Caenorhabditis elegans: one gene and its partner. The protein of the gene in region 1 interacts with the protein of each later gene in a pairwise test. Each region holds a gene or a part of one and is shown in the gene's direction. Other genes may lie near its edges. The genes, in order: syx-5 and vps-52.

What was found.
Region 2: the proteins of syx-5 (region 1) and vps-52 interact in a two-hybrid assay, tested with the Caenorhabditis elegans proteins (one study listed by BioGRID).

What each region holds. Positions count from the first base shown.
Region 1 is NC_003283.11:11,752,270-11,767,722, forward strand, and holds syx-5 (Putative syntaxin-5), read left to right. Parts: upstream 1-12,634; 5' UTR 12,635-12,649; coding exon 12,650-12,838; intron 12,839-12,914; coding exon 12,915-13,097; intron 13,098-13,339; coding exon 13,340-13,811; intron 13,812-13,856; coding exon 13,857-13,954; intron 13,955-14,408; coding exon 14,409-14,708; 3' UTR 14,709-14,953; downstream 14,954-15,453. Other genes in the region: T04F3.1 (Aminotransferase class I/classII large domain-containing protein), read left to right, coding at 1-292, 339-424, 565-1,018, 1,100-1,239, 1,538-1,756; smoc-1 (Thyroglobulin type-1 domain-containing protein), read left to right, coding at 5,399-5,483, 5,533-5,692, 5,739-6,205, 6,253-6,323; T04F3.3 (Tyrosine-protein phosphatase domain-containing protein), read left to right, coding at 6,678-6,763, 6,812-7,056, 7,474-8,102, 8,145-8,279; T04F3.5 (uncharacterized protein), read left to right, coding at 8,420-8,497, 8,659-8,757, 8,806-9,079, 9,123-9,238, 9,282-9,381, 9,549-9,625; T04F3.4 (EF-hand domain-containing protein), read right to left, coding at 9,694-9,821, 9,868-10,025, 10,578-10,632, 10,685-10,727; F55A11.1 (EF-hand domain-containing protein), read right to left, coding at 11,261-11,384, 11,497-11,757, 11,803-11,879, 12,011-12,109; sel-11 (E3 ubiquitin-protein ligase hrd-1), read left to right, coding at 15,075-15,302, 15,348-15,453. UniProt on the Caenorhabditis elegans protein: Potentially involved in docking of synaptic vesicles at presynaptic active zones.
Region 2 is NC_003284.9:7,563,626-7,579,656, forward strand, and holds vps-52 (Vacuolar protein sorting-associated protein 52 homolog), read left to right. Parts: upstream 1-1,697; 5' UTR 1,698-1,705; coding exon 1,706-1,862; intron 1,863-1,904; coding exon 1,905-2,023; intron 2,024-2,085; coding exon 2,086-2,181; intron 2,182-2,223; coding exon 2,224-2,454; intron 2,455-2,508; coding exon 2,509-2,742; intron 2,743-2,792; coding exon 2,793-2,999; intron 3,000-3,049; coding exon 3,050-3,175; intron 3,176-3,284; coding exon 3,285-3,566; intron 3,567-3,614; coding exon 3,615-4,005; intron 4,006-4,052; coding exon 4,053-4,171; intron 4,172-4,223; coding exon 4,224-4,370; 3' UTR 4,371-4,520; downstream 4,521-16,031. Other genes in the region: sto-1 (Stomatin-1), read left to right, coding at 17-91, 138-401, 475-593, 642-828; Apyrase apy-1, read right to left, coding at 4,643-4,756, 4,838-5,356, 5,431-5,545, 5,614-5,678, 5,795-5,938, 5,985-6,095; Zinc finger protein unc-98, read right to left, coding at 7,015-7,347, 8,151-8,333, 8,376-8,510, 9,300-9,368, 9,599-9,709, 9,800-9,877, 9,926-9,949; pcyt-1 (Putative choline-phosphate cytidylyltransferase), read left to right, coding at 8,732-8,751, 15,143-15,351, 15,615-15,731, 15,781-16,031. UniProt on the Caenorhabditis elegans protein: Acts as a component of the GARP complex that is involved in retrograde transport from early and late endosomes to the trans-Golgi network (TGN). The GARP complex facilitates tethering as well as SNARE complex assembly at the Golgi.

The sequences.
Region 1 (15,453 bases):
AAATACGAACCAACACGCAATCCTAACGGAGTCGTTAACTTTTGCACTGCCGAGAATAACATTTGCACTCCGCTTTTAGAAGATCGGTTCAAACATCTTGAATTGTTTTTCCCAAACATCGAACATCTAGTGAGATATCCACCAGCTGGGGGATGGCCTGAAACTCGAAGAGTTCTTGTCAAATATTTCAAAGAGTTTATGGGTGCTGGAGTGACAATTGATGAGCTTGTATTGACAGCTTCAACGAGAACTGGTTATGATGTTACAAGCTATTGCTTGTTTGAACAAGATGGTAAGAGAGAATGCAATAAAATTATTGTATGATGGGTTTTTGACAGACATTTTGTTGACCAATGGACCGATTTACACTGGTACCATTTCAAATGTGCAGGAAAAAGCTCAATGTCAAGTGGTGTGTGTAGAGGTATAATATGTCATTTGAAAAAATATAGAAATATTTAGTGACAGTTAGAATGTGCTTTAATTCCTAACTTGTTAGCGTAAAACCTAAAATATGTTCTCGATTATCTTCGAATCCATTTCACTTTTTTTTTTAATTTTCAGACTGATCTTTCCAACCCACGTCTTGATGTTAAAATGTATGAAGCAGAGTTGAATCGACAAATCGCCCTTGAGAATACAGTTTCTGGTGTAATTATTGTTAATCCACACAATCCTCTGGGTGTGACGTTCCCTCCTGAACAAGTCATCAGTCTGTGTAATTGGGCTTCCTCGAAAAACTTGAGAGTTGTGATTGACGAAGTTTTTGCAAACAGTGTCTTCGATAAATTGAATTCAAAGTTCCGACCATTCCTGTCTTATCGTCATCGTCTACACCGTCCTGATAGTGTCGCATGGTTATGGAGTGTTAGCAAGGATTTTGGACTTCCAGGACTCAAGTTTGCAGTGATACATACAACGAATGAAGGACTTTGTCAAGCGGCAACAAAACTGCAAATGTACTATCCGTGCTCCCCATTCGTTCAAGATTTTGCTGTGAACTTATTGTCTGATTCAGGTAAAATAACTTCAATTTTGATTTAACATGTTTTACAAAAAACAAAAACTTGACGGGAAGTATAGTCTCTTATATTTTCAGAATGGCTACGAGAGTTCCATCGTGAAGTGAACAAACGTATTTCAATCCACTATCGCTACACTTCTGATAATTTGAAACGTTTGGAAATCCCATTTATTCCAGCTCAAGCAGGAATATTTGTTTTTGCCGACTTCTCCAAGGTAGATCATTTGAACTTACAAAAATTTGATGATGATTCACTCTGATCAAAAATCGCTTACGTTTTACTTACTATGATTTTAGGGGAAAGAAGACGAATTATATTCAATAATCATCTTAAACTTTTATAAACAAGTTTTAAAGTGATTTTGTGGTTCAAAGATTACATGAGCAGAATATAATAAATGTTAAATCAGAAACAAAAAAATAAAGTGTAACTTTATCTATTTCGGTTTCAGTGGAAAAAAATAACTTTCAAGTGATTTTTTGTTTCAAAATACAACACGGATATCATTTTAGCATCTTACTTCGTTGGATTCTGTAGGAGAACTTGCATTGTTTGAGCGTCTTGCTGAAGCAGGAGTAATGCTGACTCCGGGTGTTCATCAGAAATGTCACGTGTTTGGATGGTTCCGCATTGTGTTTGCCTGCACGAAAGAAGAGCTTGAAGAAGGATTCAGAAGACTTTACATCCATTTGGGAAGTCAACTACAACCCGTAGGAACTGTTGAATATTAATAATTAACTAGATTGCTTTACGTTTTTTTTCAAATTTTAATTGTTCACACCTACTTATTTTATGTGATGCGCCCCCCCCCCCCCCCCATATTTCTTTCTTTTATTTTTCAATTTCTTGCTTTTTTCCACTCGTTTTTTTACTTGGCTTTTACATGAATATATGGATAGATGTGCACTTTTCTTCACATTTCTCACTTTTTGGATGGCCCCAAAGTGGGCGTCCAGAATGTGCCAGGCACGAAGGACCACCCAGTGTTCGTAACAGATGGACAAAAACTGACAAGTATGTCCAGCCTTTTTTATGAACTTTTGTCGGTCCACTCGTTTTTTAAAAACACAAAAAACAAGAAAGAGCTAAAGCAAAGCTGGGAAAACGTTAAGAGCTTGCATGTGAAGCAGAGCTTTTGACTGATGTTGTTCAGGCAATTGACTTGAAAGTTCATCCCACAAAACTTTGTCATTATTAACTCACTTGTAATTTGAGTTACCGTATTTCTATTTCTATTTTGAGAGAGTACTCTTAATCCGTTCCAGTTACATCATAGATTCTTTGTCTGAAATAAAAAGTCTAGATAAACACTCACATCTGCAAAACTTTAACTTAATATTTTATAAGTAACTCTCTGTGTTACGAAAATATCGGAAAATAATGAATGTGCGACTGATACGTATTTAAGAAATAATTTCAGATTAGGAACATCAAAAACTTAAAAACATAGAGAATGATCGACCACATAGTCTGAGATTTCAAGAACATACGCGTAACACTTTTCTGAACTATTCCAGTGTTTTTATGTTTGATCGATCAAAAATTGTATGATACACCAATTTTTAGGAGTTTGGATTTATTTTAGAAAAGTTTTTTTTTTGAAAAAATGTTCTGCATTGCAAAATGTGTTGACTTGCCAAAATAATTTTTATATGTTTTTTCAAAACTTTGATTGAGAATTTTACCATGGTCAAATAACTTTGAGAGGATTTCCAATAATTATTATTACTGATTCTCTGATGCGGAATGTTATGTTGAATACCCTTTTTTGATTGATACTAGGTTCGTTTGGAAATTCAGAATAGATAACTTAACCCGGCGAGGTATCATGGGCGCCTCATCCGAGCATTTTCACAGTCCTACAGTATGCTTCAGTTCATGAGCTTCACCCTGCAGAGTGACGAGGTTTAAACTGAAAACCTTTTCTTCTTAGATAGGGTGTTTATGTGAGCATTTATTTTTCAAGGCAAACTAAAGTAATTCATAATTGCAATGTTTAATTGGTTTTCCTTAGCATTTTCAGTATAAAGCTATTCTTTGATAAACAAGCGGTACTTTGGTCAAACAAAGCAATCTCATCCAAAACACAAAATATAGAATTCTAGATAATAATGATAATGTATCTTTTAAGTATTGTTTACAACAGTAGTTTTAAATATTATTCATAGATCACATGCCCTGGCACACATTTTCATTCTCACTTTCTTCCCCCCATAAAACAGCGTCGTTCAAAAAACGAGTAAAGATCTTGCAACTTTAAAGAGAATATGTTTTCTTTACTTTCTTGTTTTTTGTGCTCTTGTTTTCTGTTCTTCGTGCCCTTTTCCACGCGACTAAATTTAATTTCCCACCCTCTCCCACGCCAATTCCAATTTTCCCCCATCTACAATCATCCAAGTTTTGTTCCATTTTTTAGAGGGTCGATCGTTTGCTCAAGAGATTACATTATTTACCTGAGCGCCCGCCAGTTAGTTTGTCTCTTCACTCACTCCATCTTTGAGTTTCACAAGAATCCAACTCGGTTTCTTCTACATACATATATATTCCCATATTTTACTAAATATTTCGTGTCTTCCCTTCTTTTTTTTCTCCACTTTTCCTCCTATCTTCATCATTTATCAACTACACTGACTCCACCCACATTCCTATCCATTTTGAGTCCTGCAAATTGTGCAAAAAACAGATGACCGCCCGACTCAGAGAATATTGAATATTCAATTGGTGCTCTTGTTAAGTGATAAGAGCGCGGCGCCAGGAAATCGGGAGACTGACACGTCTGTCTGGAGCCATCATTTTCCCACTCTTTTTCTAACTTTCTTGCATTCCCCATTTTATAATCACTCTCGAAATTTTATGTGAAATGTTTTTGAACTCCACAACTTTCTACTAAAAAGTATGTTCCAAGTTCATTTAATCCTCGGCATATTGATCCTATGAGTTACGAATTAATAAGTTTCACCCTATTACGAATTACAAACATTGATAAACTACACAATCCTCTCACTGTTTCTTATCTTTTGTGCTCTTACAGCTGCGCCTAATTATTGAAGAATTTTAGAATTATTTATCAGATTAAAATTCAAAAGTTTTAAAGAGCTCTTCCTGAGAAGATTTTCGTTCATTTGTATGAATCTGACAAAAAACCTTCTTTGAAATTTTTTAATATAATCTACCCTCTATTCTCTATTAGTTCTGCACCCCCTTGCTCCACTTTGAAAGGTCATATCTTGGTTCATTTGGAAAATATCAGTAAATAATTAATCAGAAGACAACCGAGATAGAAAGCAGTTGAGCAACGGGTGCAGTAGAGAATATACGATATAAGTTTGTACAACAAAATTAGTAGATTTTTGAAACATAATATAAAATTTGCATTGTTATTGCAACGACAAAGTACCGTGAAGATCTCCAAGAAAACCTTCAAAACCAAATTTTACGATTTGGCTTTGGTCGTTGCGTCAATTAAACACACTGGCTGTTGTTCTGACCAGGGTGACTTTGGATACTTTTATGAGATTCTCAAAACAGCCGATCGGCCGTTGACCTCCTCTCTTCTATACTTTGTTCGTTCTGCCTCATCACCTCTTTTTTCTTCCTCTTTTTTACATTTTCACATATTCCGAATTACTAATTAATTGTCCCGAATCAAGCTGTTCAAAAAATGACATTTATGGTGGAGTTCTAACATGACATTTACGAAAATAAGTGTCGCCCCCGACCGGAAAAGTAGGTGGATGCCAAAAGAAGGAGAAAAATGATTCCACAATCGGAAACAAGCTCAAACCTTTTCTTGGATTGTTCACGCATCATTGAGAATTTTATTGGGGATAAAAAATATCTGGGCGGGATATAGAGACTTTGAACAACCATGAGAAGTTGAACCTTCATAAGTTTATTTCTAACAACTTTTATACAATATTTCAAGAAACCTCCTGAAAAAGTTCACAAATCACTTCCTTTTCTAATTCGAAGTTCTGTGGACTTTGCATTTGAAGAGTCAACTTTTGTTTCGAAACCGGAAAATTGTATTCGATTACATCAGAATACAACATAAAAGAAATGTGACGTCGAATCTTAACACTCAGGTTCTAAACTCTCCATTTTGTTTGAAATTTCCGTTATTAAATTAACACTATAGACATCTTCTCAATTAGGTGTGAATTCCTAAACCAGAAGAACACCCACGTCACTTGAATCTTCAGCCCACACGCATTGCAGAAGAGTGCAACCTAATCTGGTTACTCCTCCTATATCCTCCGTCTTCTCCTCAATTTCACATTTCAACGGACAGCGTTTTTTTTGTTTTGAGATTTGCACATATTTCTCCAATTTTATCGTTATCTTAATTTTAATATAATATTTTTCAGTCGCTCATGCGGCCCGAACACTTGTCTTTACAATTATTGGCTTGGATATACTTGATTAATGGGAATCCAATTGTTCAGAAAGGGGGACTTGGTAGGTTTCTGATTTTAAATTTGTTAATTGTAACTTTAATGTTTTTTAGAAGTTCTGGATATTACTGACTCAAATGATTTGTCTGTTCGTCAAAGATTCGAAGAAGTTATACGTCTAGATTGTGCATCACAAAGACGAAAAGCATTAAAAAGAAAAACTGACGGAGATGCTAGAATTTATATTCCAACATGTTCTCCAAAAAACTCATTGTAAGTTTCTTCGTATACATATTTGTTAAGTTTACTCAATTTTCAGATTATATGATAAAGTGCAATGCTATGATGTTTCAATTTATTGTTGGTGTGTGGACGAACTGTCCGGAGAGCCAAAGTTAGGCTCATCGACAACAAGAGGAAAACCAAAATGTGAAGAAACTCCAACAACTACAGTTGCTCCAAAAAGAGTGAGAAGAAACAATCGGTGTAAGGAAAAGAAGAGAACACGATTTCTGAGGCGATTAGTATCAACTCTCAAATCAGAAATGATAATGAGTGGAATAAATGCAACAAAAGTTAGCAGAGATTCAGCAATTAGATGGAAGTTTAATCAACTCAATATAAATCATAATAATGTGCTTGAAAGAAGTGAATGGAAACCTTTTAAATCAGTTTTGTTAGAATGGAAGAATGTCAGACAGTGCTCCAGAAATCTTTTCAAAACTTGCGATCTGAATAAGGATAGAAAATTGACATTCGATGAATGGAGAAAATGCATTGTTCAAGGTGTGTTTTTGAGAAAAATCATCTGATTTCTCATTTAATTTTTTCAGAAATCAACCGAGTACCAGCCAAACGTCCAGATCAACTAAACCCATTCCTGTACATTTTAAGATCAGAATAATTTTAAGTTTTAATCCTCCCCCTCAATTTGCAATGTTCTTTAAAAATCTACCACGGGTAACCTCCTTCCATTAATCTATTAACCTATATTTGTCTTTCATTCACATATTTGTTTCTCAACAGCATAATAAGTTTGCTTAATTTCAGAGCTTGTAGTTGTCCGGTGTTGAAATATCGTATTTATTTGTAGAAATTGTATTTTCATATTTTCATTGTCAGTTCAAAAACAAAACATATGCATTTAAATTAAATAAAAGTGTTCACTTTTAAAATAAGCACGTGGTGATATTGAAATAATAAGAAAAAAATCACTATAAAAAGAACCTCAGAATTCAAAAAATCTATTTCGAACAAAATGGTTGGTGACGGTTCACTTTCTTCTGAATCAGTTATTGGTCTTCACACTTACAATAGTGCAGCCGATCTAACTAGTGGACATGTGTAAGTTTTCAAGGTTTTCAATAATATTTAAGCTTAATTCATTTTCAGTATGACACTTGAAAAAAACGAGTATCTATTTGATCTGAACACAAAAAACGCTTGCACTCGTCCACTGGATATTTTTATCAAACTTCTTTCAACTTCCTCTGTCGGAAAAGAGTTTTCACATTTCTCGTCTCTTCCATTGTCACGACTTCGCACTGTTGACGCTTTCTTTGATCACCCCGAATTGAATAAATTTGGAGAAATTCAAGTTTACGAGCAGACGCGTGTTCGAGCCGTTCATCGTCAAGGTAATTCAAAAACTTCAGAATAAAAATATGTAAAACTAGTGGGGCGTTACGTCATTACACATTTATTTACTACATTATATTATTTTAGTATCGCAATTTATGTCAAGTCGTTAGTGAAATTTTAACAAATTAACTGAATATTCCACGATATCTCTATTTTAGTTCCACGCCTTGATGTGGTGGCAGTACGTGAATTTCAATGTTTGACGTTCAAAAACAGAAAAAAAGCGTTAGGTCTTTCATGTAGGCGCCAAAACACCTGCCTGCCTCACCTTAAGGCGACCTTCGCCTGCATCGCGCACCGTCTATCAAAATAAATATGAAAATACCCCCTTATGGCTGTCACAAGGGACACTAAAAAGACGGAATGTCTAGATTCTGACTACCCGTCTAAATCCAATCTTCTACACATTTCAGGTCATAATTACCTCAACTCAAGTTGGATCGACGGATATCGTGAAACTCGAAAATTCATTGTCGCCCCGTCTCCTATGTCTGAAAGTGTTGCTCAATTTTGGCGGTGTGTTTTCGATCGTAATTCTCTTATTGTGGTGACACTGTGCGAGCTCCTGGATGAAAAGGGAAAACCATTTGTGCCTGTAAAGATTGGAGAACCATTGGTAATTGATGATATGACAATTGAGTTGGATAACATTCGAAAAGTTCGACCGGCAACTTACTCTTCTGTTCTGAAGATTTCTGAGAAAGGTGTCGAATCTCATAAAACAGTGATTCTTCTGACCTATAGTGGATGGGGAAAACTTGGTTATCCACAGAAACCATCTGATATTCTGGATTTATTGGCAGATATGAACCATATGAGAACAATTCTCAGAAAACAGGGACTTGAAAAGAAGATTTTTGACGACAGTCAACGGACACCAATGACATTGGTGTGTTTTGATGGATTCAGTAGAAGCTGCACTCTTGTTGCTTTGGATATTCTTTGTCAACGTCTGACAGCCTCTCATGAAATTGGTACTCCATTTGTTGATATTCTGGATACAATTGCTAGACTTCGAATGCTTCGTGGTGCAGCCTGCATGGTGATACGTTCTTTATAACTAGATTAAAATTAATATTTTCAGAAAGCCGAGCAGTTTGTCTTCTTATCAATGTCAGTTCTCGAATATGCCATTCGTCATCATTTGGTGAATGTGGAGGATCTCGGTAAAATCAGCTTGAATGGGTTTATCATTCGCAATAATCCTGAATCTTACTGACCCGTTTTTTCAAGTCTACAAATAAAAGATTCTTCAAATTTTTTATTCTCATTTTATTTCCTTCCGGATGACCTACATTAAAACTTGAGTCATTTTCCCAATTACCACCTTTTTGGAATGTCACTTTCAAGTGTCAAACAATGAATACGTACACATATCTTCAGATTTACTTTATATTTCTTCACATCTGTCACTGCCAAATATTTCAACAAATTCCAGTGAGTCCAGTAACTGGTTTGAATTTCAACAACTTTTTTAGAATCTGATTTATCTGAGAAACTATCTTTGTCAAGAATGTTATTATCTTTCAGAAAAATTTGTTAGACAATTTTCACAACGTTCGATGAAAGGATATTTCTGAAAGTTTATAGTCTTACAGGTTGGAATGGGTATGGGAATGGGTATGGGAATGCCTATGGTTATGTCAATGCCAATGCATAATCTTGTTGGAAACCCATTTGAACAAGGAATGGAAATTGTACGTTTTCATGTCATGATTTTCAATTCATAGTTCTCTAAAATTTAGGAATACTCTCCAATAACTCAACTTGTTTCATCAGTTGCTCATCTTGTTGAAATGCATCAAAAAAGTAAAGAAAGAGAAGAAGATCATCAAAATTCCCATGGTCCAATGTTTCCGGAATTCTCACAGCTACAGAGCCAGATGAGACGTAGGCCATCGATCTCAGAATCTGGAATTTCATTGAATGGACCACGATTTAATTTAATCCCGTACAGTCAAGACGGCCTGGGTTCATCTGGTTCATCGACAACGTCTAGAATTATTAATTCAATATCTCGTAAGAATGGATTTCTTCAACATGAGCAAAAATTCAATTTCAGCTGATACGATTCCACCTGTAATGTGGAGGATTGGTGATCTAATTGGAAAGCATGATACAAATGAAAAAGAGAACTTGTACGATATGACTAAGATCAAAGGATTCCCTATTACTAAAGTGGGTCGATTTACAGTATATTAAAGTTGTAACAATATTTCAGAGTCTTGATAATGAGAAACTATTTCGAGATGAAGATTTTGCAAATAAATCGAATAAATCTTGGACAGTCTTGGAAATTGCTAGAAAAATGTTGGGTGTTGGTAAGTTTTTCTTCTGAGTTTGCAAAATTCATTTGATGCCCTGTGTAATTTTGAATATTAAACAAAACTTTTTGTGCAAGATCGCTGTGAGACCTTTTGTGAAAATATAGCGTGTATGTACCTTTAAAATGAAGTCTCAAGTTTTTAAGAAACTTTGATAATTCCAGATGAAATACCGACTGCCAACGAAGGAAATGCAATAGCTCAGTTGATTGAAGAACTTCGAAAAAATAAAGAAAATTAGTTGAAATCATCTATTCCAGTTTAAACTTGTAAGAATACAAAATTCAATAAATTATCTATCAACTATAATCACTGTCGTTTCAAATATTCTCCATAATCAATAACTCCATCTCCATTAAAATCCAAATCATCCAAAACAGCATCAACAAGTCTCTCTGTTTCTGCTTCATCTGATACTGGAACAGGATGTCCGGAATCTAAAAAGTATAAAGATAAGTCTATAATTGATTGGTTATCCAGTACCGTGTGCATCATGAGTGTGAGTAAGAGCCTTCAAAATTTCAATTCCATCAATAAAATTGTCCTTATTCAAATCATGCATTGAGAAATAATGGAACCGTTGTTGTTCTTCTGTTAGCTTCTCAACTTCGATTTTATTTTCCAAATGTTGTTTGATATGTCTTAAAACAAAAGAAGCGTACTATTGAAAATCTTTCTCAAATTACTAATGAAATGTGTCTTGAAACTCTTTTCGAGAAAAACTAACTATAACTTCTAACTGTAAGGGAAAAATGTAAATATTAACATTTTTAAAGTAGAATTTTAAATAGTTGTCAATATTAGGAATGTCCAAAACGCTACCTATTTCTCAGCCGTGAAACTTTTTGACACCACCGGATGTGCGCCTTTAAAGAGTACAGTAACTTTTGTTGTTGTAGCGCTTTTTTTAATAGATTTTTGCTCAAATGCTTTAGTTAATTTTTTCAAAATAAAAAAATCAATTAAATCATATAAATTTTGAAAAATAGTGTACCAACAATGAAAGATCGATGAAATTAAAAAATTACAGTCCTCATTAGAGGCACACATCCGCTTGTATTTGACAAGAAGTGTCGTGTCGAGACCGAGTTATGTGCTTTTAGCGCGAAAATTGCTAAATTTCGCATATGGCATATAATTGCATCTACATTTACTTTAACCAAACTAATTTTCATACGTACACTTGCACTTACTCTTCATCGTGTACTTCTTTTTCTTCAGCAAACTTTGCTCCTTGAGCTTCTAGCACTAAAATTTAATAATTTATAAACATTAGAAAGTTATAAACAGATTTGCATACCTAATAGAAGGAATACAGTTGAGATGAATAAAAATCCACGCATTATAGAGTGGGAATATGTATAAAATCAATAGAAATAGACAGAAAACTCTTTTTCTCAAGACTGCCAAATGTCAATATTTTATTATCAGTCTCCCCCTGCTTCGCCTTTTAGTTCCAACGCAAAATTTGGTAGTGCAAAAGCAAAAGCAAACATGAATTTTATTGTTACAGGTGCTAAATACAAATTTTCATTTGTTTTTATTCGATCTCAACTAACTATAAGATAAACCAATAAATTATGCTTTTTACAAATGGGTTTCGAAAAATCATCACAACTTGAGAAATGATGGGGAAAATGCAAAATTGGAAAAATAACTAAAGTTGTAGGACTGGGAAATGGGGAGGGTGTCTGACTATTATGTACCAGTTAAAGTGTTAAAAGTGACGAGGATAGTATGATAAAATGATTTGTTACAGCAGTCGATATAACCCATCAAAAGACGTAGAATGTTAATAAAACATTGAAAACTTTGGAAACGAGGAATTGGAAATTATGGCTATTAATTAGATCGTTGTCCTAATCAGAATTCTCGATTATTGTGTGCCACCAGCTTTCTGCATTTGTTCCTGGTGAGATCTTGCTTGATCTTCTCGAAGCTTTTGTGCTTTGAGGAACTCTCCGTAGTCGATGAAGCCATCAGCATTGAAATCGTCGTCCCTGAAAATATTCAGTAAAGTATTTTTTTAAGACTTTGAATATTTTAGTGCTTTCTTATGCTAATTGCTAGCAGTAGTCTCTAGAAAATAAATTAATTAAATATATATCTCACTTTAAAATACTATCAATCATCGTCTCCAATTCAACTTCACTTGGGAGTGGTGGTGGCTGATGATTGGCATTGGCATTATTTTGTGTATGCTGTGGTCCTGGATTCTCGGCATGGAAATGCGTTATTGCCTTAATCAACTCGACTCCATCCAGTTTCCCATTTTTATCTAAATCGTGCATATTGAAATAATGGAATTGAAGTTGTTCTGGCGTCATGTTAGCAGTTGGGTCCACTTTTCCGTCCAAATGTTCTTTTATGTGGCTGAAATGTTTTAAATTAATTTTGAAAATTGTTATTAAAACTTACTGTTCATCTCTGGCCTGTTCTCCACCAAACTGCTGTTGCCCAGGCTGAGCATGTTGAGCTTGTTCCGCTTGGCCACCCTGATTTATTCAATACAATTTACAAAATTAAAGAAGCTTTAAAATAATAAAAATCACTGTATCCAGATTGTTTTTCAGTTCAATTTCTAGCGAAAATAATTTTCTTATTATTCTTTACAAACATTGTTTACCTGTTGTGGTTGCTGTTGATTAGAACCAGGAAACTGCTGTGGTTGGTGGGCAAAGGAACCAAGAATGAGGCAAGATACCACCAAAATGTTGGCTGCCATTCCTGTAATATTATAATCACTAAAATATAGACAAAACTAAGTAAGAATACAGAAAACGGAATCAAAAACGGAAGCGTGAAGTGGAAGCTGTTATTTTATTTGTGTCGATTTACGGGGAGATACGGTAATCGGGAGGCAACGTGTTCCAAATCTTACGGTAATCGCTGAAATTTCTTAAAACAATAAATCGAAACGAAAAGTTATGTGTATTTTTTTAATAAAATTAACTTGACTGAGCATTTTGGTTGAGAAATATAAAACTTAAACTGAAAATTAAACAAAAAAAAAAGAAAAACTAGTGCATTGAGGAGCGTGTTTGTTGCGCATAAAATACGCAACGCCACGCACAACCTCCGACCACACATTGATTTTCTTCTCCACGAAGTCGAGCCGGTTTAGTGGACTGTTGCGACAATGCAGCGAAATATTTGTTATTTGTTTTTCTTTTGAAATAATATTTTTACCGTGACATTTGAATATATTAATCTTTTCGACGCTTTCAGTCATTTAAACAATATTTTTCAGTTTGTTCGATGTCGGATGTCGGACTTTCACAACATTAGATCTCGTCGACGAATACCAGAAGCCAGTTCTTACTCAACAGTCGATTTTGATTACGATCCAGATCAGAAGAATCACACTTCAGCAGTTGCTCCGACTAGTTTCGCGTATAGCTCTCTCACAACCGTTTTCAACGCGTCAGCTTCACAACTTTGGAATTCTGCGCAGGTTTGTCTATCGGAACGAAGAAAGATGGCTATCTGTATATTTCTGGTTTTTATTTTTTCATGCATATATCTTTCAGGAGGCGCTTGTATCCTCCTACGACACAGCGGAAGGCACTGAAAGCATAGACGCAGATCGATCAAAGGTAGTAGAAACACTTGAATCGCTGAGTATTTTTGGAAATCCACTTGATCATATCATTATCACAATGCCATCAAGAGATCGAACTTCGGAATTCCGGGCGACAGCCAAATCATACGAAGTGAGTTTTTTCATTAAACTTCTAAAAATAAGCTTTTATTTCGAAACATTTACTTTTAAAACGTGTTATTCGGGTTTCACATCAACATTTGGACGAGACGAATATATCGATTTTTGCGAAACTCGAAATACACTTCGAACAGAAAAAAGAAACACGAATCACCTGTTAATATTTTTAAAAACATTCTAGGCGATAATATTTTTATTATTTATATAAAATTCGGGTAACATATAATTTTTCAGATGAAAGCAGCCGCAAATGGAATTAGACCTCAACCAAAGCATGAGATGCTATCTGAATCCGTGCAGTTCAATCAACTCGCAAAGCGAATCGGAAAAGAATTGAGTCAAACGTGTGCAAAAATGGAAAAACTTGCCGAATATGCTAAGAAAAAGAGCTGCTATGAAGAACGATCTCAAATTGACCATCTTTCATCAATTGTCAAGTCTGACATTACGGGTTTGAACAAACAGATCGGACAACTTCAAGAATTTTCAAAAAGACGTGCAGGAAACATGAAAAATCAAAATAGTGGACATATACAATTAGTTGTAGTTGGATTGCAGTCAAAATTAGCGAATGTCGGAAAAGATTATCAAAGCGTACTGGAAATTAGTACAGAAACAATGAAGGCTGAAAAAAATCGCCGAGATAAATTCTCGAGTGGTGCAGCAGTTCCAATGGGACTTCCTTCCTCCTCTTCCGGAGCTAATGGTATTTTATTTTCCTCGCTCATTCAATAAAAATCTGAAATTTTAGTTCGTTCAAAGCTTCTTCAAGATGATGAGCAGCATGGCTCCTCAAGCATAGCTCTGGATATGGGTGCTCTGTCAAACATGCAATCACAACAGACTATGGTAAGTTTTCAATTTGAAAAATATGAAATTTTTTTTGAAAAACTATCAATATTAAATTTCCAATGCTCCGTGTTTAGGAGAAGTACAGTGAAACTTTTTTTAAAAATTAATATTTTTTGCCAATAAAGCAAGTTTTATCGAAACTAATTTAGAACAGCAAAGAATACATTTGAAAAATTGCGATGTTACAAAAAATTTGTAAGATTTCTATGATTTTAGTTAGGAAATGTTAATATTTTCTTTGGAATTCGTTTTTTTCTTTAAAAATTTAAAAATTATATTTCTAATAGTATTAACCAAAAATTATGACTTGATAGAATATTGTAGACATTTTTGAGCGTTTATTGAAAACATAAAAATCGTGAAAACTGTAAATTGCTCAAAAATCAAACAAAAAAATAGATAGAATATAGTTAGTTTTTTTAAACACTTTCCAAGAAACAAATATTTTCAGCAACAAAGAGATTCATCATTGGAATATGCGCAAGCCCGTAGCAACACCATGGCGACAATTGAAGGATCCATCTCCGAACTTGGCCAAATTTTCTCTCAACTGGCTTCACTCGTCAGTGAGCAAGGAGAGATGATAACAAGAATCGATTCAAATGTTGAAGATACAGCTCTTAATATTGATATGGCACATTCAGAGCTTGTGAGATATCTTCAAAATATTAGCAAAAATCGATGGTTAATGATTCAAGTTTTTGGAGTTCTCATGGTTTTCTTTGTTGTATTTGTTCTTTTCCTCACCTAAACATTTCCATTTTTCATTGGTTCTTTTTTTTTCCGTGATTGCTGACTTGTTTGAATGTGTCTATTGTAAAAAAAGTGGAAAAGTAAATTCAAATTGCTTCTCCTATCACCTATAATCATTATTTTCCTCTACTATTATTTCCATGAATTAGCTTTTACTTCTCTGTCTTGACCCGGAAATTGATGGTAGAACTCCGCCTGTGATTAAAATCTTCTCTATTTTTAGCATAAAGCTTTTTAAATTTTAATCAAAACTATTCATATTATTTCTTATATTCATGGTATTTTGAACCAACTCTTACTTCTTATTATTATTATTATTGTAATTTTTTGGTTCATAATTATTTTCAGATCCCTCGGAATTCAGATGAGGGTATCAGCTGGACTAATGATTGGTGGCTCGTGTGTGGCGACTGCGGCCACCATACTCAACGCGTTCCTGATCAACAAACAGTTCTATCCATCAATCGTATATCTCTCAAAAAGCAATGCAAGTATGGCAGTGATATATGTTCAAGGAATTGTTCTTGTATATCTCATGTTCCAATTGCTCAAGTCTATTTTATTCGGAGATTTGAGAGCTGCAGAGGCTGAGGTAATTTTCAATATTAAATCAGTACTGAACATAAATAAATTTCAGCATCTGTCAGAACGTACATGGCATGCAGTTCTGGAAACATGTCTCGCATTCACTGTATTCCGTGATGATTTCTCAGCAATATTCGTTATGCAATTTATTGGTCTTC
Region 2 (16,031 bases), on another chromosome or scaffold:
ATCTTTCTCTCTTCAGATTCTGTCTCGCGATTCGGTTACCGTTTCTGTTGACGCAGTTGTCTACTTCAAGGTGTTTGACCCAATCACTTCGGTAAACTAAACAGCTGGTACGGTTCAATCTAATTTGGAATTTTTAGGTCGTCGGAGTTGGCAATGCGACCGACTCTACCAAACTTTTGGCTCAAACCACCCTCCGTACAATTCTCGGTACCCATACCCTTTCAGAAATTCTATCCGACCGTGAGAAAATCTCCGCCGACATGAAAATCTCGCTCGATGAAGCTACAGAGCCATGGGGAATCAAGGTTGAACGTGTCGAGCTTCGCGATGTCCGTCTTCCATCTCAAATGCAACGTGCTATGGCTGCTGAAGCCGAGGCTACTCGTGATGCTGGAGCAAAGGTGAGCCGACATGATGAGCATAGCAAAATGCGGGGGACCAATAATTATTAATTTCGATTGCAATTAATTTCAGATTATCGCTGCCGAAGGAGAATTAAGAGCATCTGCCGCTCTTGCTGAAGCCGCCACCATCATTTCAAAAAGCGAGGGAGCCATGCAGCTTCGATATCTGCACACACTCAATGCTATCAGGTAATGGAAGCGCACTATCAACTTTTAACTAACAAAATAAAATTTCAGTTCCGAGAAAACCAGCACAATCATCTTCCCGTTCCCAATGGAGATTCTCGGAGGAATCAGCAAGGTTGGTTCAGGAGGCACATCTCAGAACTTTCCAGTTCAAGAAATGATGAATGCCGCCCTTCAATCCATTCAACGTCAGGATACAGTTCCAGCCACCGCATCTTCCTCAGGAAGCCGACTCTGATTCCAAGCAACGCAAAATGAGCTACAGTTTCGTCAAAAAACAAAACAAGGATCAACTCGAAGCATATTGATAATCTCTTTCCTGTTTGAAGTATTTTTTTTTAACTATTAAACTGTATTATTCAACTGTATAACACTTAATATTTATACTCGATTTCCACCTCATTCACTTCCAAATTGCACATATCGGTTGTCAAGGCATATCTTTGAGAGGTTGTCTGAAAGACTTCCGATTTTGCTCCAAATTTTTTCAGTCATTTTTCTCATCATAATAATAATATATATATGATTCTCCACGTTCCATTGTATTTTTCAAGTGTATTTTTCCAAGAAAATGAAGGAAGCCATATAGTTTAGAAATTTGTCTAATTTTTTGTAAAACGGGAAATATTTGAATCGAAGGATTCAAAAAGTTTTGAGAAATTTTTTATTTCGAGCCTAATGCGCTGAAAACTAGGTTTTCACCAATTATTATGAAAGTCTTTGATCAGAAAAATTCATATTTTCACTTATTTTTTCACTAAACAAAAATCCAAATTTCAATATTGTTGGGGTTTGAAGATTTAATAGTGTTTTAGATTTCTCGTAGCGAATTGTCAAAAATATACCAAATAGATAAATTAAATTCTCTATAAAAATTCAAAAATCCACACATTCTCATTTTTCCAATTGTTCTGCATAACCTCCTTGGCGAGCATTTTCCTCGCCTTCCTCGCACACAAGCACACCATTATTCTAAACACCGCGCGGGGTGTAAAAAGCGGAGCATCGTTTAACGACGTGTTACCAATTGTTTTTTCTTTGGTTTATCGCTATTTTTTATTTATTAACGTTAGTTATTCATCAAAATTTTTATTGAAACAATTTCAGCACAAATAATGCCTCGAACACGTGTCAACTTGCAAAAATCCGAGGCAAATGACCGTAGTTTCACAATATCGTCGCTAGAATTTTGTTTATCGCAATTGCGAAAAGCAGATCCGAATTTGGTGAAAAAAGCAATTGCTTCTGGTGACGGACTAACCGAGTCGAAAAGTATGTCTCTAAATGTCAACATTTGAAAAATCAATAATTCAGACGACGTCAGCACGCGGCTATCGGAGGCACATCGTTATTCTGTTCAACAGTGTCTTGATAACTCTGAGCAGTTGGCTCAACTCCATAATCAACTTGTGCATTGTGATAATGTTTTTGAAGTAAGTATATTGTAAAAATTGCCAATATATAAATCAGTCGACTATTTAATTAAACTTTTTAGCGCTTGCAAGCAACATTGTACAGTTTTCAAGACAATCTAGGATCAATTGGGCAGGATATGAAAAATTTGCAGCTACAGTCGCATCATATTCATCAAGTAAATTAATTTTCCAATTTCAACGTACTATAATCTTCTCAGGAACTGGAAAACCGGCAAAAAGTTAGAGTCGAGCTGAGCCAATTTGTAGACGATATTGCTGTTTCTCAAACGATGATGAAAACTATCAACGACACTGATGCAAATGACAGGGGTTTTTTGGAAGCGCTCCACGAGTTACACCACAAAATAACCTTAATTTTGCAAAGGGGAAATGGAGATGCGGTAGCGGTAAACGACACTATGCCGATTTTGGAAGGACTAAAGCTTAAGGTTGGGTGTTTTTTTTTTTACAAAAGTTTACATTTCAAAAATGTTTTTTTTCAGGCGGTTGTAAAAGTGAGGGAATGGTTGCTTCAGAAAATGTTCCAATTCCGTAAACCTCTGTCCAACTACCAAGTTTTTCAACACCAGCTTCTCAAATGCCGATTTTTCTACGAATTCCTGTTGCACCATGACTTGATCTCTGCCAAGGAACTTCAAGACGAGTACATTGACACCATCAGCAAGATGTTCTTCACGTATTTCAAAGCATACGCCACACGCCTGTTCAAACTTGCGGTAGGTTGAGACACATTTTTCAAGTATATTCACCAGAGTAATTATTTAAGATGAAAGACGTGGCCACCAAAGAAGACGCTTTGGGAAGTATTGATTTTGCAAAACCCGCTGGATTAGGCGCAATTTTCTCGTCGAAACAACACGTTGTTCGGAATAAGGCAACCGTTTTTTCGATTGGGCAACGACATCAAATTCTCTCTGACGACTTTTTAGGAGCCTTGATTGTTCCCCACGCAGCTACGCAGAACCATCAATCGGTATACCTTACAATAGAACTGGTAGGGACCAAATTAAATTATATTTTCAGTATCAATTTGAAGCACTATTTCGTTCTATTCAACTGGCATTTGTCGATCACTACAGCCATGAGTACCTCTTTATTACCGACTTTTTCCTTGTCAGCAATGATGAAGCCATTGAACTGCATAACAAGGTATGTTACGAGGACCTGGAAAGACCTAATATCTATTACGTAGTAATGTTACATTTACAATAGTTGTTTGCCTTTTCACTACCGGAAAAAAGCTTATAATTGCTTTCAGGCTATGGCTCGAGCAATGTCAGTTGTGCTCAAAAGCTGCGAGGAGCAAATCGCCCTTAGTTGGGACGCCATCAGTCTTCATCTGTGCATTTGTCTATGTGACAAGTTTACCGAAGTGCTCGCCGAGAGAGAGGTACCAGAAGTTAGCGATTATTGGAATACTGTCACAAGCTTCCTTTGGACCCGCCTCAATTTGGTCATGTCTCAACACTACGAAAGTGTCAAATCTGTTGATTTGAAGAAGTTGATGCATAGCGGTTCACTTGATGCAAGACCGCATTTCGTAAGTTTTTGATTGTTTTTTATAATCAAAAAAATTCAGATGTTACAGATAGTCCGACGGTACGCCGAACTGACAAGTGCACATTTGATGATAGCAAAAGCAAGTGGAAAGGAAATGGGTGCAAAGATGGAAGCTGTCTTGGAGAACAGTGAAGACTCTATTGAACAACTATTGACTCGAATGTCAGCTATGCAGCAAACTCAGAAAAATAAGCACGTCTTTCTGATTAACAATTACGATCTTATTCTTTCGATTATCGATAACGAGGAAAGCAAGCATACAAAGATTTATGCAATTGTCCATGAGCTTGAACAAAAAAGTATTGATGATTTTGTTGAAGAGATGCTAGAGCCACATATTGGGTACATGATTAAATTTGTCAACGAGTGTGAATCTCTGATTGTTCAAGGTCATACACAACTCTTAGTTCGATATAATGGCAAGTTGTCATATATAATTTTCTATTCTCTAATATTTTAATTTCAGACAAAGTTGGAACGGTGGTAGCAAACTTCAATGCAAAGTGGAGACCTGCAGTGGACAGTATTAATTCAGAATGCATACAACTTTTCACTAACTTCAGCCTGGGAACCACCATTTTACAGGTTAAAATTTATTTCCTAGAGCCGAATTTCAGTTTTAACTAGATGATTTCAGACAATCTTCACAAAGTACGTTCAGTATATCAATAGATTCACAAAGATTCTGTCCCATGACGTATTTGCTAAAAATCCCGTGTGTTCCCAGTTAGTCAACGTTCATCAAGTGATGCTCGAAATCAAACGGTTCAAACCAGCATATTAAGAAAAATATTGCCAATGTTATTTTATTTTCCCGTGTAGACTTTGTAAATTAAATAATTTATTGATTCCCACTTACTTGAGTATTTTTTTATATATATTTTTACCCACTGGCAGCTTTATGCATGCAAAAAATGTTGAATAAAATGTTTATATATTTATTTTATTTAAATAACCATTACATAGTATTTGACAAAAATCACATAATATCGAGAACACAGATTTGGACCTGACTGGAAGGTGGGAATTGAGACAAAAATACATTAATTGAAGTGATTAGGCAAATGCAATTCCTTCGTATTTGTATGGACCATGAAGAAGATATTCGTCAAGAATAACATTACCATGAATGTCGAAAACACTTGCATAACTTGCTACTGGTTTTCCATCCTGGAATACAATTTTATAAACCGAGCATTGAGATTAACGGATTTTGTTTTTAAAATTGTGTAGATAAAACCTGTTACTTACCTTTTCCTCCGACTTGATGGCAACGATGAGCTGGTGATGAGTGTTTGGCACAAATTGGAAAGCAGCAAACCCTCTGGATTTGTTATTCTCCGATCCTACTCGCACAACCTCAAAATCAGTCAACTCTTCATTTCCAATCACAAGAACGTTTGTTCCGCGGTTCTCGTCCTCCGCCTCAGAATACTTCTCATTTGACATTCTACGTGGAAGGAAGAACCATTTTCTGTGAATTGCAGACCATTGAACAGCTTCGTGAATCATGTATCCGGGATATTCGATCCCAGCAGCTCTACGAACGCGGATATATACATCCTTCCAGTTTTCGTGATGAACGGCTCCGTGAGCAGAGACATGCTTCACCCACATTGGGTGATCGTTCACATAAACTCCGTCAGTGGTCGTCCATTCTTTTCCCAATCCTCCAACAATCAATTCGGTATCCTTAACAGTGATCCATTCTCCTTTAAATCCCTTCACGACGTTTCCTGGCCCATCGTTCAGTAATACCCAGGGAAGTGCCTTCAAAACAATATTATATTTTTTAAAAATCAATCCACTACACAAATATCATTGTTTAACCACTCATCACTCACCTTCTTGTCACTAATTTGATAAATAAGACCTGTTCTATCGTCAATTGAGTACAGTTTACCATTGAAGACGGCAAGGTCAGACAACTCCATAGCGCGTCCACCGGCGGCAATATTTCTAAAATGATGATTTTAGTAATGAAGTCAAAACAAAAAAATCTATAAAAACACATTTTGTAAACTTACGTGTCAACATAGTACTCCGAGTCTTTGTCAAAATGAATATCGGCATGCTTGTGGTCTGCAGAAACCTGAAATATAAATTTGAAAATTTCCTATAGCGATTCGAAAAAAGCAAGTTGCATTTTATAAAAATCATATTGGTCAAGCTGAGCATAATGCATTAGTTTCTTGCCGTCCTTCTCACCTTCAAAAATCCACGAGAGACCAAACTTTTCCACTTCTTCCCGTCTTTGCTGTCATGATCCAAATCGGTGATCAACATTATTGAGTATTCTTTTGCTCCATCATCAAACTTCTTTACCGAATACAAGTTAGCATGGTTGATGTGCTGTAAATGGATATGTGCGCAATCAGCTGAAAATGTAAAGAGTTACCTCTTCCTGTTCGCTAGATTTGTTGAATTGGGTACCCGAATAAAAGGCAATAGCGGTCACAAACCCGAAAAGAAGGAAGTTGAAAAAGTTTGAGTTACTTTCTTGTGTCATACCTAAAAATTATTTTTGTGAGTCTTAATTATAAGCATTAATTGAAAGTAAGAGATTTGAGAAAATATAAGTAGAATAAAAAAATAAAAAATGGTGTAGTTTTCCGAGAGTACTTCACGGCCGCGTGGCCTAGTTTTTTCAATGGGGACTCGATATTAATAACGAACACAAGTGCGTGTCCCAAATTGCATTTGCTTTATTGAGTGAGATATCGTGGCTGTGAAGTGGCAAAATATTTCGAGAACCGTTAATTAAACAATTTTATACATTTTTAAATAATGAATTCAAAATGATGCAAAATAAATTTAAAAAAACGTACAACTTCTAGAACAACGAACAATTGAGCTGTCTCGCTATCATCATCTTATCATTTTTGCTATCAAAAAATCGGTTGTGGGTTGTCGTAACACATCACAGAAGAAAGATTGATTGTGAGAGAGCCGGACAACATTTGTGCTAGCGGTCAATGTCTTTCCCGCTTAACATGGTCCCAATTGTACGATTGACCAGGAATCGATATTTCAGGGAAAGAAGAAAATACCAACAAGACATGACGAGAACAGTATTTATAGAGTGTGTCTGAGTGCGTTGGAAACACACGATTTTTGTGCTTTGTAGTCAATTGTAGTTTATGTTGAACACAAAACGAGTTTCTGCTGCTGACCGTCTTTATAACGAGCGTCTTAAAAATGTGAGGAAAAGACAAAATGACAAGAAATGAGAAAACGATAACACTAAAGAAAAACGTTGATTTAGTTGAAAGAAAGAAATATGAGTTATATGAAAGAACCATATCGAATATACATTTTGAAGGACAAATATTGTTAAAGCTAGCCGATGTTGAAATATATATATATTTTACAAGATCTGGATAGATTTAAATACTAAATTAGAAAAATTTTAAATACTCAGGGGTTGCTCAGAATCGCGGAGTCACGTATCCGCTTGTTCTTGGGAATAAATAGTAGCTTCTGGAATCAGTGTACCCAACTCCTTCCCTTCCCATCATATAACGAGATGCTCGAGGATTGAAGTACTTCTCTCCACGATGACTGTACATGTGATATGCAAGACCACGACTGTCAGAGTAGCTTTTCGAACAATATTCACAAATGTATGGTTTTGAACGAACGTCGTTGTACACTCGGAGTGGATGCTTCGGCTCGTATCCTTCAGTAACGAAAGCTGGCTGTGGAAGATCTTGCTCGGAGACCGGTAGGACTCGCTTCTTGCTTACTTTTATTGTGGTTGTCTGAAGTATTTCAAATTATATTGGTAATCTTCATTCTTCTCACAAATGTATTCCTTGTTAAAGTAAAAAAACGGTTTCGGCTTTTTTTCCGTGTGATTTTTAACAAAACCAAACGAACGAAATTTGAAATACTACTTCTCAAAAATTACTTAAAAACTTGTTTATGGGGGTTCAAAATTTTGAAAAGGCAATACCCAAATTTCAGTCAAAAACTCGAGTTGTTTCAATTTTTCCCAGTCACAAAGACTTAGGTAGCAAATTGTGGTAATTTTTGGTCCCTAATTGCTTGAAACGTATCTTCATTAACAAAACAACGTAAGGTAAACGACCAAAACATGTTTTTAAATTTGGAACTTTCTTCGGTTTCATAACTTCTGTTTCATAACGTTTTCTTTTTTTTGCACTGAAATTCCATCTGTTTAACAGTTGTGATGCAAGAAGTAAGTGCAGTCGTATCAAATTGCACCCTCTCACAGGCTATCAGCAATTTTTTTTTGTTGAGAAAAATATTTTTTTTACGTCAGAAAGCCAAGACACACAAAGTTTTTGTTCACAATTTTCTCACATCAAGGACTATGAAAACCAAATACAAAATTGAAAAGCGAATGGCTGGATGAAAAGGTTTTGATAGATTTTGAGTCGAAAGAACTGAAGAATAAAAAATCAAACATTAAAACAGCCATAGCTAGATTCTGTTGATTTTTTTCCGAGAAGTTCGTAATTCAGATTTTGTTTCAAAAAGCTCTACTGATTAGTAAAATCTAGTAAATTTATTATTTCTCAGATTTCTCAATTAGACAAACCTCTGGAGCACCTATCAATTCGAGTGGATCGTCCGTGTGCTTGTGATATAACATTTCCGTGTAAGAAAAGAACGTCCTTCCGCATTCACACTTGTACCCGTCAATTTCTGAGTGCTGAGCGGCATGATATTCCAGTTGGCAAGCAAATTCAAATGAGTCTCCGCATTTTCCACAGACATATGGCTGAAACAAAGAGTTTCTATAAGTAATCCAGCGAATGAAAACCTGTGAAACGTCATGTATTCTCTCGTGTGCACGGAGAGTGTTCATGAAGTTGAATGTGAGTCCGCAGAAACGACACTTGTAGAATACAAATCCGTTGTCATCTTTTTGCACACTAGTTCCGTCCTGACGCACTTCCTGCAATAATCACTTTTCATCGACTAAAAGAGTCTCTTTTTCATTTAACGCCTTCTTCATTCCCTCCCTTCTTCAGTTTTTCCTTCATCTTATATTTTTCTTCCTTTTATTCCCATTTCCCTCATTCTTTCACATTCAAGCTGTCAATGCTCACATCTATATTCCGCACATTTGGTTCGTGTGCTGAAAGTGAGCGCATCAACTTCAACAACAACAGCAAAATGTTTATTCACAAACAAGAGTAAGTCAACAATACCCATGTGAATTAGCTTGGGAAAGGAGAAGAATGGAAATGGATAGGTTGAAGGAAAAAAGCATAAGGAGCAGCAAGAAATTATATTCCAAGTTAGTATTTGAAAATGATAAGAGAAAAATAAAATCACAAACAACAAAAATCATAATTTGTTTTTTTTTCTTCTTAGCATCCTGCTGAGCTTTCTCTTCCAACAAATGTACAGGACATGGTTACTTCGACAATGGGCTAAATTTAAATTAAATTAGAACTGAGTTTGTCTTTGTGTATTCTGGCAAATAAGTTTTTACTAGTATGCTAATTATAAAATTAGAAAATAAAACCTTTTCTAAACTATCTAAAATTCAGCAAAAAATTAACAATTTCTCTCAAACAACTCAAAAAATATAGTTTCATTTTCTCCGGAAATTTTGCCTGTACAAACCTATAGACTACATTCCTAATCAATGTTTTTTTAATTAAAAATTATTCAAAGCACGAACTATTCAACAAAAAATGCACAAAAACACACACTTCATAAAAACAATAAAACAAACCTGTTGATCACTGCCATCCAAAGCACCGCCACTCGATTTTGTTGGAGTTTGAGCACTTGAACTTCCGACCTACAATAATTTACTTGATGCTTTTAAAATCAAATTAGGATGGCGCTGTTTTAAAGTATTTAAGCGTTTTCAGACACTATTCAGATAATTCAACATTTTTTCACTTGTATCCAAGGGTTGAAAAATGTCAGTATGAATCCAATCTTAAAAACATTTAAAAAAATTTGCCTTAAAACCTATCAAACATTTCAATCTCTGAAATTCTTTTTTTTAAATTTTACCAAACTCACATATGCTTCAACTGTTGGGGCAACAACTTTCATGATCTCTTTGGGCTTTTCCTTATTTCCATTTTCTGACGATTCTCCATTGATGCCGAAGGTTTCTAGACCATGAACCATCTGGAAGGTATTTTTTTAATCATTTCGCAATACAGACACCCCCGCGTTTTTCTCCGGTTTTTCCGTCATCTCTCGGTTTCTCTAACTCACTTCATTGTTCTTCACGGACATCTTGGCAAGATCACAGGCATTCATCAACTCTTCGAAGTCATCTCTTTCCTTTCTTGCCTAAAAAATTCAAATTTAAGTAAAGCTCACAGTGATCAAGAACAATACCTCTTTGAAGATGTCGTCATCCATTGTTGTATCTGGATATCAGCGGTTAGTCGTCGGAATGGGGGTGAAAATTGTCAGAGGGTAGAATGCTCGGTGTGGCTAGCTGGGGTGCTCAACACACAGTGTAAACTCAAGAGACTCGTCGCGATCGAAAAATGCGAGAAATCGCCTCTGCAATCTCTGGATCTGATGTGCTCTTTTGAAATGCTCCCGCTCTCTCATTTCCTTTCCTCGTTGGATGTTTTGCGGGACACTTCTGTGTCTGCAGTCTCCCTCAATCTTGCTCAACTGTCTTAAAGAAGAAAGAGATCTTGACGACACAAGTAAAAAAAGCGTCTAGATTGCAGTGCTCGACATAACTTCAAAGCGGAATCATGTTTCTGAAATGAATGGCACAGATGCTAGTGTTTGTGGGTGACATACATTTTGTGTAGTACGTTGAACACGTGCAAATGATTTGGAGATGTGGGTACAAACAAAAGAAAGAGTACTTTTTTTTTGAAATAATAATCGAAAAGGATCAACGAAGTTTATATTTTAGAAATTATTCAATATGAATTGTAAAAATATTAAATTACATACTGTAAAACTATTATTTGAAACTATGCAGGATTATGAAGCTATTGTTTTAAATGTGAAGCATCGGTCAGGGTGATTTTTTGTAATCACTCCTTTATACAGTGATAAATAATCTAAAATAATTTTGCTTTCAAAAAGGTAGTTATCATTCAGTTTTCACAAATCACAATCTTGGAACACGGCAAAAATAGTTTTTTCTACATACAAGTTTCATATTCTAACTATGATTTGATCATTTGTATATACATATATTGTAGACATTTAAAAAAATGCAGAATTGCTCTAATATTTTTCATAGGTTCAACTTATTCTAGTTGTGGCAATTTACCACAACTTTGAATGAAAATTCTCAAGAATCTAAACGGTTATGTGGGACTTTTATGACTTTTAATTGGAATAAACATTTTACTGGAGCTGCACCACCTTCTGGATTGATCGGATCTTTCTTTCATGCATCACAAGCGGGCTAAAAGTGCACCAATGTTGAAATTTTACACAACAAAAATGCATTTAATTGTTAAATTTTTAACAAGTATAAAGTAACCAGACCCTTTTTCATTAAAAAACAGTTTTCCGTATTTCCTCTATTAGTCTTGCAGCCTCTATTAGTCTTGCAGTCTCTAATAGTCTTGCATCCCTCTTTTTTCAAGACCAGTAGTACTTTGCGGAAACGTCAGCAAATTTGATATTTTTGAGAAAATAACCTAGAAAATGATCAAATAATTTATGAAATATTGCAAAAGTATATATTTTTATCGTTCAGCAAGCTATCGAGTTAAGTTTTCAACAAAAAATAGGTCATTTTTTCAAAGATGGGGCATTCGAAAACTAGTCTTGCAGCCTCTAATAGTCTTGCAACCCTACAGACCAATGGAAAATTAGTCTTGCATGCAAGACTAATAGAAGAAATACGGTATATGAAACAGTCTCACTACTCGGGCTAAATATAAAGTTTTAAAAGAGAACAAGCGACTCACTACGAAATTTGTTTTTTTTTTCCAGCACATTTTGAGTCAATACGTTTATACCACGAACCAATAGCCCTACTTTATAAAATCCTCTCTTGTCAGAAAAGCCGGACCTCCTAGATTTCCATACTTACTGTGTACTTGTGGCCTCACAAAAACTTCTTACATAAGTATCTTCCCTTATGGAACAGTAAAACTACATTATTACCGGTTAAACGTTCCCGCCCCGCCTTCGCAGCGTTTATTAGCTTTTTACCCCTTGATAAATTTCAAGGGGTAAAAAGCTAATAAACGAATAAATAAAAATTTAAAAAAACTGGTACATTTTAAAACGTTTTTATAGGATCAAATTATTGGTTCTTTTTTTAATACTACATTCGTTTTTAGTGTCAAATATTAATTTCATTTTGTGGGCAGAGGAACATTTTGAATATGAATTTAGAACAACGCACCATGTCTATATTTCCGGTTTCTTCGCGTTTATTATCAGAGAATTACCTGAAATCCATCACACTCGATATAAAATGCCTTAATTCATAACTTTTAAATTCAAATGACAAATTCTATCTATTTTTATTACCAAGTAACAGTCAACATATTTTGTCTAGTCCGTCAATGAAAACATTCCAACTTTCCGTCTCAAGTTGATGAATAACTATGAAAATGATTTTTTTAAAATCACCTTTATCGTTTTCCAATCCGAAAATTAAACTTTCAATCCGAATTCCATCTTTTCCAATAAACGTGCATTACCGCAGTGGTGGCCGCTATCAAATGCTATGAAATCAGAGTAGTTCCAGAGTCCAGAGTCTCATTTTTCATTCTTTTCTCTTCTTCTCATAAACAACTAATTTCTCTCCCAGCAAACCACCCTAACATTTTCTGTAATGGTTCCTCTTGACTTTTGCTCTTAATGCACTACACCGACTCGGCACGTCATATTTTCATGGTAGAGAGAAACATGAAAAAATGAACACGAAGAATGACCTTTTTGTATAGTGATTCTTTGAGTTGTATCTTTATCAGTTGGCCTCAATTCTTTCGTGTCAAAGAGAAGAAAGTGTGGACAGATTGAGGGGAAAATGAGATAAGAGAACGTTTGGCAAGCAATAATGGATGGGTCAATGAAACCTCTAAGAGTACAGATCTATTGCGTCAATTATGGCATGAATCAAATCACCTCACTAACTTTCGTTTTTTACCTTTGTACCGTTGGGTTTGGAGTTGTAATGGGTGTTCAAGAATCCTAACACTAGGAGCAAAACTTCTATCAGAAAAGTTGTGTAATAAAAATTTATCTTGCCGTTTTTTTTCAATTAAACTTTTGAGCAGTTGGGGTCAACCAACGGAATCTTATATATTTGAAGAAACTTTGGTGGCTCTGCAATAAAATAATTTACAAGGTGAAGTATGTGTTGTTATGATTAATAGTGTTTTCCAAACGTTATCAATGTATTTATCATTGGTATATCACATCCATTCTTTGAAATCTATGATCACTTAAAATAGTTTTTCAAAAATTTTCTTTGACGCGTATTGTTGATAACAACAATGACAGTACCACTTTGGCAAACAAGACTAATGAGATAAATACTATATACCTATGTAAATAAATAAAGTTTATCCAAAATTATCGTTCATAACAAGTGCTTTTTAAGATGTGGAATTTAAGTTTAGTTTTAATCTGACAATTTGTGTTTTTTTATAAGTTTTTAGAAATGCAAATGAAACTGCTATCATAATTTTGACTTATCAATTAAAAAAACTTTGACGTAACAATTAAAAGGCACACGTTGTTTTTGGGTCTCGCCACGATCTTATTCATAATGACCGCGTCAGGTGCCAAATTCTACAGACTTGTTAAAAGTGAAGTAGCACCACTAGGGAAGTTGTTAAAACTACTTATAAGGTGTCAGTTTAATCCAATATCAAAGTAAAATTTTCAAAAAGTTGTTGAAAAGTTGTTATTTTGTTTTAAAATGATCTTTACTAATTTCTTGCCACTGTTTTGGTAGTCTTCGATCAAACAATTTTACATTGGTATTTTATAGTCTACTAAGTAAGTAAGTAAGTAAGTACTTATGTTTCAACATTAATTTCAAATACAAATATTAATATTCCCCCATTGTAGGGATTCGAACATGCGGCAGTCTATAGTTTTCTCAAAAAAAAGCAATATCAGTAACTCTCAATAAACCTTTTGTATATTTTTTCGAAAGGTTTCACTATGAAATTTTGTAATTTTTGCACAATTGAAGTGTTTTTTTAAGAATGTCCCTACTGGTGATACTCCACTGTTAACTGGATGTAGAAAAATGTTTATAAAACTTCCAATATCTAAAAGGCACCAGAAAGCCAAAATTTATATTTTCTGGCAAGAATAGACACAAACATTTCAATTCCTTAGACCTTCTCATAATTTCTTTAATGACTCATCTGTGACTTTCTTTTCTAATCGCGCATTCAAATCTTCTTCTTCATCTTTACCACCTCTCTCTCTCTCTCTCTCTCTCTTTGGCCCATCATTTCCCGTGGCCTCCATTTTTTTGTGCGTGGTGTCATTCGACCACACAAACAAACACAACGAATGTAGTAGTATAACCTGGTGGCTCATTGCCCAGATGGCTGTTCGCCGCGTGTTGCGCTCTGTTCGGCTGCCCTTCTGCTTGGTTTTTGTCGTCTTCTCAAGTTGTTTTGTTTTTTTTTCTTCTTTTCTCTGTGTCTCTCTGCTTCTTATCCTTACAGCGTCTTAATTATACGCTTTTTCGGAAGATGCTAAAAAACAAAAAATATAAATGCTAACATTTTTTCTTTAGTTGCCTGGGTCCCATCACTAGTTCTGTTTGCCCATGTGTCACATATTTTTTTTGCCATTTTCTCTTGTGTGTTGCGAAACTCGAAACAAACAACAAAGAATTAATGCATTAGCTGAGACATTTTTTTCCATTTATTGTTGTAGTTTTAGAGTTAAAATTATGCGTATAATGTTCACGTCAGATTTTAGATTTTCAAAGAGTTTGTCAACTCAAAAAAAAGTTTCAAAACTTAAAAAAAGCCTTTGTTAAGAAAAACTATTTTTCTGTGAAAACATCGCTTAAAAAGGGAACTCAAAAAAGCAAAAAAGCAATGTGCCACGTTCATCTTTTATGTTTCTTTTTCCGCTCCGTCCAGCGTCTTTTTTCCCCCCATTCGCCTTCTCCATCGACCCTTTCTAACACCGCTTCTTCCCTTATTTTCACTAGTTCTCTAATTCGAAAATTTTTGCACGCACTCTCCATTGGCACGTTTTGCGTGGCTTCAACTCACAGAATTTTAAATTTGTGACATCACTTCTTTAAAAATTTGCCCACGTGGCGTTGCACACTTTGTCAGGCTCGGCTTAGGTCGATTGTGAAACTTTGGAAGTAGAAAATGGTGCGATTTCTCTGAATCGCACGATAACCGAAGACTTTCGCCCTTGAGGCGTTGCGCTTATCAATTTTTTTTACGCCTTTTGATAAGTAGAACACACGTACTTCGCAATTTCGTGTGCTTCTCCAAATGAGAAAATAAAAAACCATGTCTACTCCCCCTTGTTTTCTAGTCTACACAAACTTTTGTGTTTCTATTTTGTTATTCGCTTCAAAATTAAATTCCTAACAAGTTTCATATTTAACCGTTGATCGTTCAGAAAGATGCCACAACGAAAGAGAACAATGGACTCACCACAAGAAGAAGATGTGGAGGTGAAGAAGAAGGCGACGGAAGTGGAGTACGTTGTCAGGTCGTTGGCATCAGATGAGCCAGCTCCATTTTCCGACGAGGCGTTGGCGATTACGACAAGAGAAGCGGTGGATTATTCAAAGAAAATAACTTTGGCAATGGCAGAAGCTAATGAGGGTGAGAATTTTTAATTTGAAAATATTATATTGGAATATACTTGAAATTTCTAATAGTAAAAAGGAAAATTAGCCATTTGCGAAAATTTGCGAGTTATAACTAGAAAATACCGTCTACGTTCTCGAAACATTTGAATATTAGAAAAAAAAGAGTGTGTGCACTTAAAGAGTACAGAAGTTGCCACGACTCTCTATTACTCAGTTTTTCTTCGTTTTTTCTCTTTATTTGCTTCAAAAATATCTGTAGCTTTCTGTAACTTACAGCTGGCCGACCTGTGCGAATTTATGCTGATGGAATTTATGATCTGTTCCATCATGGGCATGCGAATCAACTTCGCCAAGTGAAGAAAATGTTCCCAAATGTCTACCTTATTGTTGGAGGTTTGATTTTTTAATCTTTTTCAATTATGATTTTCATTTCAAATTTCAGTTTGTGGTGATCGCGACACTCACAAGTACAAAGGAAGAACAGTCACTTCAGAAGAAGAACGTTACGATGGTGTTCGGCACTGTCGGTACGTTGATGAAGTCTACAGAGAGGCTCCATGGTTTTGTACTGTCGAGTTTTTGAAAAACCTTAAAGTTGATTTCATTGCTCATGACGCTATTCCATATGTTGCACCAGGAGAGGAGGACTTGTATGAGAAGTTTCGTAGAGAAGGAATGTTCTTGGAAACGGAA